Macaca mulatta: one gene and its partners. The protein of the gene in region 2 purifies or fractionates together with the protein of the main gene of each other region. This does not show direct contact. Links are inferred from orthologs where the notes say so. Each region holds a gene or a part of one and is shown on either strand. Other genes may lie near its edges.

Region 1 (3,517 bases), on a different chromosome or scaffold from region 2:
CTCTGGACTTGAGCTCAGGAAGTTGAGGCTGCAGTAAGTGACACTCATACCACTGCAGTACACAGCCTGGGTGACAGCAAGACCCTGTCTCTGGAAGAAAAAAAAAAGTGAGGGAAAAGGGTTCATATGGGGAATAGTAGATAAAGATGTTAGAACATCTGTTTAGATTTCTGATTGCCAGACTACAGGAAAAGCCAAAATCCTAATTTTTTACTTGCTAAATGTTTAAGATTTGAAACATACTATGAAAAGTTATTTTAAAATAACTGGCAGTTAGATTCTTGATATGTGTGTGTGTGTATATATATATATATAAAAATTCATAAGCAGTATTTGCAGCAGGCTTTTAAAATCAGATAGTTGTATCCTATAATGCTGTAGTTATGTAGATATGGTACAGTTGCTGGAAGTAATAATCCTATTTTTAAAAATTAGGTGATTTTACATACATGTAACCTGTATTTTACTGGATATATCTTGTGTTTTCTAGCTGGTGCAAATCATCATAAACACAACACACCTGGAACAAGCTTGTAAATATCTTGAGGACTTTATAACTAACATTACAAATATTTCTCAAGAAACTGTTCATACTACAAGACTTTATGGACTTTCTACTTTTAAGGTATGTAAAAATTTGACCAAAAGTTTTCATTTCAGTCACTGTAAACAAACGTTAAGAAATTAAAGACTGTTCTTATTATATGCAAGATCTACTATATTCCTAAAAATTAAGAATAGAGGTAATCATTGTCAACAATGAGCAGATAAATGTAAGGTTTTTTTTGGCACCGTAAACATCTTATTAACATGGAGAAAAGTATACTTATTTTCTACAATGTATTACGCTTTGTTCATGTTTTGATGATTTATAGTAGTGCTGAATAGGTCTAACTGAATTAATATTTCACAGTTTAAAAATTAATTCTATATGAGTGTTTATGTTTGAAAATTTTAAATGTAAGACAAATTAAATAAGGATAGATTTGTTTTCCATCCTTGACTGGTTCTGATCTGAAGAAAAGCAAGTATTATTACATGTCATTGAAGTCCTGCCTGTTTTGTGGATGGGAAGATTTCTGTTTTAATAATATACAGGATATACTGAGGATTAATTAACGGTTGTTTTAGGTAGAATGTAAGATTAAATAATTTCATAAGCTATTTTATTATTTTATTGATTTGGAGTCATAGATGAGACACTAGCTTAGTCTAGTGTATATAAATCCCCTTGCATTGAATATTTTGTTAAACTAATGATAAACCATGTACTGATCACTTATCTGCAAAATGGGCTTGCTAATTCAACCTTATAGCTCTTTCTAAAAGTTTCCTGTTAAAAAGAATTCTCTTTAACTACTTTTGTTATATTATCAATCACCCCCAAGATTTTGTTGTAATAACTTGCATTTTAAAAAATGAATGTACTGGCTGGGCATGGTGGCTCACGCCTGTAATCCCAGCACTTTGGGAGGCCGAGGCTGGCGGATCACAAGGGCAGGAGATTGAGACCATCCTGGCTAACACGGTGAAAGCCCGTCTCTACTAAAAATACAAAAAATTAGCTGGGCGTGGTGGCAGGTGCCTGTAGTCCCAGCTACTCGGGAGGCTGAGGCAGGAGAATGGCATGAACCCGGGAGGTGGAACTTGCGTTGAGCGGACATCACGCCACTGCACTCCAGCCTGGACAACAAAGCAAGACTCCATCTCAAAAAAAAAAACAAAACAAAAAAATGAATGTTCTTGTGTTTAAAAATAACTAATTTAATGTTAACATTTAACCATACTTTGAAAGTGTGAAGTCCACAAACAACCCTGGAATGCTAGAATTATCTGCTTGGCCCCCAAATATTATGCTCCTCTGGTGCCTCTTGAGCTAAGTAGTCATTTCAATACATAAGACACAAATGCAGAATGATACCTGAATCAGCAGACTTAACAAAATTAGTTATTAAAACTTAGAAGCCTAAAAAAGCAGGCATTCATTTATTCAGATAATATAGTACAGTGATTAAATTCATATACTCTGAAGTTAGATTGCTCTGTGGTCTTGGGCAAGTTCTTTAATGTGATTCCAAGTTTCTTTATCTATAAAATTAGAGTAACAGTACAGTACTTACTTCATGTGATCATTATGAGGAGTAAAGAAGACACTTAGCACAGAACCATTCACTGTATATAAATCATGCTCTGAGCACTCTGTTTAGACTCTGAGAATACAAAAATGTATCCCTGCCCTCAAGAAGCTCAGAGGAGGAAAAAAATAAAAGACACTTAACAATGTGGTATGGTAAGTGTGATAATATAGGAGGAGACGCCACAAGTTTTTAGTCACTTACTTATCCAAGGACAAATTGATTCTTAGCTTTTATGTTAGATTTTACATAATGCCTCTACTTTCTCTTCATTGTTCTTTCTGTCCTTACATCCATGTGTTACTCATACTCTGTCAAGAAGGGATTTCTCAGGCTTAGAATTGTAGGCATATTTAACTGTTAACATTACATTTAATATGCTTACCCAGTACTCTCTGATTAAAACATGAATTACTTTAGCATCTTGTGTTTCTAGGGATCTTAGAGTAATTTTCTTATCGATTATAAGCCAAAGAACCAAAGATACTGGAACACAATGCTCTTAGATTAGGGGATCTTGGAACTGTATTTCTCAAAATCTGCCTGTTGGGAAAGAATGTTTAGAAATGTTAGCTCTGGTTCATCATTCCAGAGTTGAAACCACAACTGTCATTGCATACTCCTTGGTGGATTTCCTTGGAAATCAAGTTCTGCTCTGTAAATAGCGAAGCATCTTTGTTTTTTGTTGTTTATTTGTTCGTTTTGTTTTCACACAGAACTCAGTAAATGCTTTTCTGTTTTCTAATATGTGAGCAAGAGCTGTTTTCATCTTAATATTTGAAGGTCAAGTATTTTTCAGTTCTATCTTTTGGTCTGTTTCAAGAGGAATTTGTCTCAAAATGTGATAAGGGGAAGTACTTCAACAGGGAGGATTGTTAAATCAATATTAAAGTGAATTACTGAGGGACACTGGGGAATTTCCATTCACAGTGAATAGTCTGTTGCCTCTTTCACAGAAACGATTGAAGTACAGTCTTGACTGTAGACATTTGATTGGATTATTTAGCCTATTAGCCTGATTTTTTTTTCAGTTCAGTGACCCTAGAAAACATATTTCTATTTGATTGCTTAATGATTCTGGAAACAAGCACTTAATGATACCTATACCTCCATTTGCTTCCCTTCCAAAAACTACGTATGCACACACAAACTGCCTGATCTTGTGTCATATATATTTAGGTTATGAAATAGTGTATAGACAGTTTTGTTAACTTGTTTGCTAACTCTGTAAGTGACATAAAAGAAGTTCATTAAGTAGTTCCTACCCTCAAGCAGTACCTCAGCTTTTTGAAAGTAACTCAGACCCAAATAGAGAGCTACTTAAAGCTAATATAAGACTTCTCTTAACTGGAAAAATTTGCATCAATATAGATGAAAAAAAC
Region 2 (4,231 bases):
GGACCAGGCCCTCAAGGGTTGTCCACCTGAACCCAAAACATCCTCTCTGCAGCGGCTCACTAGCCCCCCTATTCTATTCTGTGACACCTAACAGTTTAAACTTTTCCCCACTTAGCCCTTAGGACGACACAAGGACCACGTCAGCGAAATCATCCTGGGTATTTCCTGACACAGGAATCTGCCCTTTACCTCCCCCACCTACAAAAGGACGGAAATTGTCCTCCTGCCCGAGGGAAGGCTGCCCATCCCTCTCCAGGCTCTGTACACCCATTTCCTCCTCCTCCTCTTTGGGTGGCTATGAGTAGAGGGAGCGCATGGGAACCCTAGAACTTGGTGCCCCCCAGGCTGGGAGTAGCGGCTCACGCCTGTAATCCCAGGACTTTGGGAAGCCGAGGTGGGTGGATCACTTGAGGTCATGAGTTCGAGACTAGACTGGGCAACATGGCAAAACCCTGTCTCTACCAACAATACAAAAAAATTAGCCGGGCGTGTTGGCAGCCGCCTGTAATCCCAGCTACTCAGGAGGCTGAGGCACGAGAATCACTTGAACCCGGGAGGCAGAGGTTTCAATGAGCGGAGATCGTGCCACTGAATTGCAGCCTGGGCGACAGAGTGATACTCCCTCTCACAACAAAAAAAGAAAAGCTTGGTGTCCGTCCCCCCCCCCCAACCTTCTCATCCACCAGCACATGCCTCCTTGTCTATCTTCCCGGTGTCTGGACACTGAGGCCACAGAAGGACTGAACCAAGTTGGTCGGCCATGTCCTGTCTCAAGGCCGGGGGCCAGAGGCAGGGTGGGCAGGGACTGGTTAGAGGAAGGAGTAATTCTAGGTTTTTCAGGAGCTGGGTCTACAACCACAACATCCAACCCTGCAGGGAAGTTGATCCAGGGGCGCCCACCACGCCATCCCCTGGAGCTGCAGCTGGAAGCTGGGACTGGGCCTGGAGCTCCGGAGCAGCCCCGCCAGCCCACAGGATACGGTTTTGCGTAATGCAGGGTTGAAGGGGAAAACGACTACACAAGCCCCTGGTTCATTACATGGACACACGTTAGGCATCTACTGTGTCACCTGCGCTGTGCCGGGCGCTGTGGGGAACACAATCGGCCTTGGTGCCTGCCCACAGAATGCGACCTGGGGAAAGGAATTCGTCGCCTTCCCCAGCAGTGTTTATGAAAAGGCTCGGTCTTTCAACGAAAACAGCAAGTGAGCTGTAAGCGTCCTACCAGCCGCGGGACATAAGGCCGATCAAAAACCTCTCCTGAGGAAAGGAACCCGCGTCGAGATCCCTTGTAGGATCCGAGTACACGTCACTCCACAGCCACACTCAAGATGGCCGTCGGTCCGTTCCTGGGCTCCGCGCAGGCGCACTTCCGCCTTCCACGCCCAACCTGGCTCCGCCCAGGTGTCCCGGGGCGGGACCAAGAGCGGAAGTGGGTGTGACGGGGACTGGGGCCCGGTGCGCCAGCGAAGGAGAGATAGTGGGGAGTGGGAGCCGTGGGGTTCGGAGCGATGATTCCCCCACAGGAGGCATCCGCCCGAAGGCGGGAGATCGAGGACAAGCTGAAGCAGGTGGGCGTGGGCCTGGGGAGGAGGTGAGGGAAAGAGGCCAACAGCGGGGCCTGAGTGTCTACTCGGAGAGGAGGCAGGGGTGGGAGGGAGCGCACCGAGCGAGGAGATGGGGTTGGGGGCTAGGCCGTGGGGTCGGGACACAGTGGTCTCCTTTAGCTTCTGGTTTCTGGTGATGTCCTCCCCTTGCCTGCTCCCAGGAGGAGGAGACGCTGTCCTTCATCCGAGACAGCCTGGAGAAGAGCGACCAGCTCACTAAGAACATGGTGAGTCTCCTCGCAGCTGGGGGAGGGGGCAGGCCTCCGGACCCTGGGGGAAAGCCTTGCGACCTGGCGGTTCCAGTTCTTGCGGCCTGGGGTTCTGTCATGGGTAGCGACGCAGGCAGTGTGTGGGTTTATCTAGCAGCAGTTTGGCATCTCTCCTGCCTAGCCCCCTCCCCATATTCCGTCCCCTCACTGAGGAGGCTGCGCTTCCCCCTGGCCTGGACTTGCTGCTTTCTGTCTAAGCTCGCCATTCTTCCTTCTCTCCTTCTGCAAATACTCAGTGAGTCTGACCAGTTAGTTGGGCTAGGTACTGGGCATATGTCATCGTCAATGGATCCTCTGCCCAGGAGGTTGGCACTTTGAGATTCCTGAGAGCAGAGAAGACTCAGCCTTCACTCCAGAGGGCTTCAGGGAAAGAAAGAGCTCTGAAGTCAGGCAGATCTGGGATCTAGTCCTTGCCCTGCTGCTTAAGTGTGTGGCTCCTGATAGGTAACTCTGGTGTCAGCGAATTCATCTGCTAAAGCAGAGACTGTGCCAGCCTCCCAGTGTGTCTGTGAAGGTCATATGCGCTAATGCATGCGACTGCATCTTGCTCAGTGCCTGGTATACAATAGGTGCTCAATAAGTGAGGTTCCTTCTTTATTCCTAGGGGAGACTGGAAAAGCACAAAGTGAGTAAATACAAACTTGTATTTGTATTTAGTCACACAATAATAAAGTCCTAGTCCTTTTCTAAAAAATTTAATTTTAAAATTATTTCTTTTTAGAGACAGGGTCTGGCTCTGTTGTGCAGGCTAGAGTGCAGTGGCATGACCGTAGCTCACTGCAGTCTCTAACTCCTGGGCTCAGGCAGTCCTCCTGCCTCGGCATCCTAGTAGCTGGGACTGTAGGCACATACCACCACACCTTGCTAATTATGTGCGTGTGTGTGTCTGTGTGTGTAGACAGGGTCTCACTGTGTTGTCCAGGCTGGTCTTGGACTCCTAGTCTCAAGCAATCCTCCTGCCTCAGCCTCCCAAATTCTTAGGATTACAGGCATGAACCATCACGCCCAGCCTCTAGTCCTTATTCAATGAGTTTCATCCTTAAGAGAGTTTTGAAGATACAGAAATGCATTTGAGGCTTCTCTGTATGAAACTACTTCCAGTCCAGTTTAGGAATGCTTCAAAGAGAGCAGAAGTTGAGATTTGGCTTCAAAGGGTGGAAGGGAAGCCATCTTGGGCTGATTATTTTAGGAAGAATTAATTTGATGCTTGGTTTGCCTTCAAATAAAATTTCAACCAATTTGTCTTAAATCACCTACTATATGCTAGGCACATGATGGGTGCTGAGGATACAATGGGGAACAGATACACCCTCTTCCTTCCCTTGTGGAGTTTATTGTCTAGAAACCCAGAGAAAAGGCAGGAAATGCCCAAGGTGGGTGTGTAGAAGCAGTGCTGGGACCACCATGAGGCCTGAGATCAAGAGGCTTCCCTCCTGCAGGTGTCTATCTTATCATCCTTTGAGAGCCGCCTTATGAAGCTGGAGAACTCCATCATCCCCGTGCACAAGCAGACGGAGAATCTGCAGCGGCTGCAGGAGAATGTTGAGAAGACACTGTCCTGCCTGGACCATGTCATCAGCTACTACCATGTGGCCAGTGACACTGAGAAGATCATCAGAGAGGGGTGAGTTAGGCCCATAGGGTCAATTCCTAATCCCTCCTGGACCGGAGGGTTGGTCTGTAATCCCAATAATTTGGGATGCTGATGCGGGAGGATCACTTGAGACCAGGAGTTCAAGACCAGCCTGGACAACACAGTGAGATGCCTTTTAAGCCCTAAGCCTTAAAAGGCGGTGGGGGGGATAGCATATATTTGAACCTGGAGTCCCATGTATTAATTCTCTTCTTTCCCTTCCAAATACTGTGTCCTTAGTCCTTCTTCACCCCCCTTGCCCCAGCCTGACCTGGCTCTTTTGCTTCCCAGCCCCACAGGTAGGCTGGAAGAGTACCTGGGAAGCATGGCCAAGATTCAGAAGGCAGTGGAGTATTTCCAGGACAACAGCCCAGACAGCCCAGAACTCAACAAAGTGGTAAGGGATCTGCAGAATAATGTGAGGAGCTTGGGGATATCAGTCTCTGCCCTGGTCTCATGAGGGACATGGGGCCAGCTTGAGGATGTATACAGTAGAATACACAGAAGGATATAGCACAGTACATCCTCTAGGCATTAGTATCTCTGCCTCAAGAATTGCACATTTTTTATTATTAAAAATTCTTTATTATAAAACTTTTAAATGTATTATAAAAATTAAATTATAAATTACATATAAAATATATACTTAACATTTGATTTTTTTTTTTTTTTTCTCCTGAGACAGAGTCTTGCTCTGTCACCCAGGCTGGAGTGCAGTGCTC
Region 3 (3,517 bases), on a different chromosome or scaffold from region 2:
AAATGCCATGTGTTTGCTATTTTTAAAAAATCTTTCTTTCAAAAAGAAAGTTTTGTGTATTCAAAATTCATGCAATTACAAATTTTGTCAATGTGCATAATGCTTTTTGGCCTCTTCTGTCTAGTGTAAAAGAGAAAATTAAGAGAATAATTATTCTTAAAGCTGCATTAAAATCTGAATGCAGCGGTTTCTCTTGTTTTGAGAGCCTGCATGTAAAAGAAATAATTGTTTTATACAAATTTTCTCATGTTTCATGTTAGCCTCCACTACAAAACAGATATGACTGACAAAGCAATCTGTCACTCCAGGTTATAAGCTAAACATATTCCACGATATAAGATAAATGCCAACTGAAGAGTAAAAGGCATCTTTTTCTAAAATCCCCGAGTTAAATATTTTATTTAAATTTTAAATGTGAAAAATATTAAAGGAAGTTTTCAGGCAAAAACTTAACATATTCAGGCAAGAAAAAGGCATCTGACATTATCCCATTACTAATATTATTCCTTTACCATATTACCTTTCTTCCAAAAGAAGATAGAAAAAGTAATTTTGCAATCAACTTGTAATGATTTATCTACAATAATATACCTAACATAACCTACAGACAATTATCTAATATAAGGTCATTTATATTAATGAAGTGGGGACTAGGCAGATGGGGGATGGAAACCCAGGGTAAAAAACACAAACATCCTCATTTGTGTTTGGCTTGGCTTCTATGTTGCTCCAGCACTTATTAATTAATTGTTCAGCTTCTTAATTAGACTAGGTACTCCTTGAAGACAGGGACCACATTTTCATCATCTTAATTATTTCTATACTGAGGAGCAGCTGCCAAATAACACATTAGCCAAAATGTATGGTGAAAAAACCAATACATGAATAAAGAAACAAAGGAGCCTATACTCTAGGATATACAGAAAACATACATATACGAGTAGAGCAATAATGTTTCCAAAGGATTTTATCTGATACTCCCCTTTTGGCCTTAACATTTCATTAAGTAAAATGTTAAAATTAGTATTTTTTGCTTATTTTTTTTTCTTTAGAGATGGGGGTCCTGCTATGTGGCCCAGGCTGGTCTTGAACTCCTGGATTCAAGCGATCCTCCTGCCTCAGCCTCCCAAAGTGCTGGGATTACAAAAATGAGCCACTGCATCCAGTCTACCATTTTCTGGTAAATTATCTTTAATAGAAAGTGTTGAAATGCAAATCTATAAAGAGCAAGATAGATAATATAAATTTTCAAAATTATTCAAAAGTTACCAATCTTCCCTTTCATCATGACTATATAAATATAGCAGTGCTATGCATTGAAAAGCTAATTATTAAGGTTTCCAAAATCAGAGCTGATGGGACTATCAAAAGTTTTTTAGAATATGTAAATATATGAAGTCACAATCTTAACATTGATTACATTTCTACTATTTTATATTATACCTTAGATGAAGATCTTCTGAAAACTTCAGACAAGCGTAGATAAATTCTTTAATTTGGTTGTAAACTTTTGGCACAAATTCAGAGAAAGGAAACTTTTTTGGAAATGGTTGCTGTCAATGGAAGAAGTAATGAAATCAAGTCACAAACCAAGGAACATTGAAGATATTTATAAATTATTTAGGTTGCAAAGAGAACATTCTTCTACATTATGAATTGTCTCCTTAACAACCTCAAATATAAGAAAATATCTCCCAAAGTTTTCTGATATTAAAAAGACATAAATTTTAATAAAACAATAATTCAAATGTCCTTCATCATGGAAAGAGATAAACAAATTGTGTTACCTACTCAGAAATAAAAAGGAATGAACAATGATACATGCAACAATTTGGATGAATCTCAAAAGCATTATGTCATATCAAAGAAGTTAGTCTCAAGAAGTTATATACTATACAATTCCATTTACATGGCATTCTGAAAAAGGCAAAAGTAGATGCACAGAGCCCAGCTTTCTGGTGTCCTGGGGCTGGGTTAAGGGAGGGAATTACAAAGGGGCATCATTAAATAAATTTTTTTTTTTGTATAATAGGCCTATTTGGTATCAACATTGTGGTAATGGATACATAACTCAATACATTGTCAAAATCAGCAGAATTGTATATCACAAAGGGTAAATTTTATGTTGCTGGGGAAAATGTCTTTAAATTATAATAAAAACAAGTATTTCAAAGTGCAAACTGAATTAGAACATCCACAGTAATCCTCCAAACACTTCAGAGGTAATAGGACCCAAAGCCATCTGCTGATTCCCAAATCAGGAAATTCTGGTCTTCCCCAAAAAGAGTCCTTCATTGTCAGAAAGGTGATTAAAGTGAAAAAAAAAAGAAAAGAAAAAGAAAAAGAAAAAAGAATCCTTTGAAATTGTTTTAGAGTTCTAACCCATTGAGTTGAAGGCACAGCTTTCAATGAAACTGATCCAATGAAAGCTTTTAAGAGGATGCCAAAACAACCAGAGAAGTTTAAAGTATTCCTTACCTTTTCCAGTTCTATATCTTGAAATGGGAATTGTCCTACCACCTTTTTGTACATCTCTTCACTTGTTACTGGTATAGGACTATAGTTGTCAGAATCAAGTATGTTTCTACAAATGGAAGGACAGACAAAGGAAATGGAAGGATAGACAAGGCAGGGTGGGGGAGGGGAGGGAAAGGGAGGGAAGGTGGGTTAATCACAAATACTTTTCTGATGAACTCCAACCTTAATATATATAACACAACCCAAAATGAACGTTTCCCAGTCCCTATTATATCCCTTCCACAATATAGCTATTTGGTTTTGGATTTAAAGAAGACAAAAATAAAACTATCCTCTGAAACAAATGGACCACAATTATAAATATATGTCTTAGGATTAGAGATTTACAAATAGGACAGAACGTATCAATGTAAGTAAGAAGTAAACAACAAAAGAATGTGTGCTCTAGAAAAGGCAAAGAGATTTTTCTGTTTGGTTTAATATGATATATAAATGTACATTATTATTATTATTATTATTATTATTATTATTAGAGACAGGGTCTCGCTCTGTCACCCAGGCTGGATTTCAGTGGCATGATCACAGCTCACTGTAACCTCAAACTCTGGGGCTCAAGCAGTCCTCCCACCATAGCCTCCCAAGTAGCTGAAACTACAGTTGCTCACCAACCCCCGGGGTAATTTTTTAAGTTTTTGTAGAGATGGACTCTTGCTATGTTGTCCAGGATGGTTGCAAACTCCTGGCTTCAAGGCATCTTCCCACCTTGGCTCCCAAAGTGCTGGGATTACAAGCATGACCCACTGCATCTGGCCCATTGGTAAGGTTTTTAAAATCATGTTCTATTCTAACTTTCAAAATTGCAAATAGAGTAACTTCCATAATAAATTCAAACTATTTCATTTACTTTACCTACTGTTCTATGTCAAGAATGACTTTTTTAAAATCTATAGGTTCTCTCTCCGTAAATAAACTGGGCATTTTCTAATAGTAGGGACCATACTACCAAAATCAAAACAGAAGACTCACTGAAGGCATCAGA

Evidence for each region. The genes of interacting proteins can lie anywhere in the genome.
Region 1: the proteins of EXOC7 (region 2) and EXOC6 purify together in Homo sapiens (affinity purification with mass spectrometry; 4 studies listed by BioGRID and IntAct, counting the BioPlex papers as one, with this or other methods). This does not show direct contact. The link is inferred for Macaca mulatta from reciprocal best matches to the Homo sapiens genes EXOC7 and EXOC6.
Region 3: the proteins of EXOC7 (region 2) and EXOC6B purify together in Homo sapiens (affinity purification with mass spectrometry; 3 studies listed by BioGRID and IntAct, with this or other methods). This does not show direct contact. The link is inferred for Macaca mulatta from reciprocal best matches to the Homo sapiens genes EXOC7 and EXOC6B.

Annotation. Positions count from the first base shown.
Region 1 is NC_133414.1:104,906,143-104,909,659, forward strand, and holds part of EXOC6 (exocyst complex component 6), read left to right. Parts: intron 1-490; coding exon 491-625; intron 626-3,517. UniProt on the Homo sapiens protein: Component of the exocyst complex involved in the docking of exocytic vesicles with fusion sites on the plasma membrane.
Region 2 is NC_133421.1:85,832,948-85,837,178, reverse strand, and holds the start of EXOC7 (exocyst complex component 7), read left to right. Parts: upstream 1-1,428; 5' UTR 1,429-1,511; coding exon 1,512-1,571; intron 1,572-1,768; coding exon 1,769-1,834; intron 1,835-3,315; coding exon 3,316-3,500; intron 3,501-3,800; coding exon 3,801-3,906; intron 3,907-4,231. UniProt on the Homo sapiens protein: Component of the exocyst complex involved in the docking of exocytic vesicles with fusion sites on the plasma membrane.
Region 3 is NC_133418.1:52,251,597-52,255,113, reverse strand, and holds part of EXOC6B (exocyst complex component 6B), read right to left. Parts: intron 2,585-3,517; coding exon 2,479-2,584; intron 1,554-2,478; coding exon 1,444-1,553; intron 1-1,443. UniProt on the Homo sapiens protein: Component of the exocyst complex involved in the docking of exocytic vesicles with fusion sites on the plasma membrane.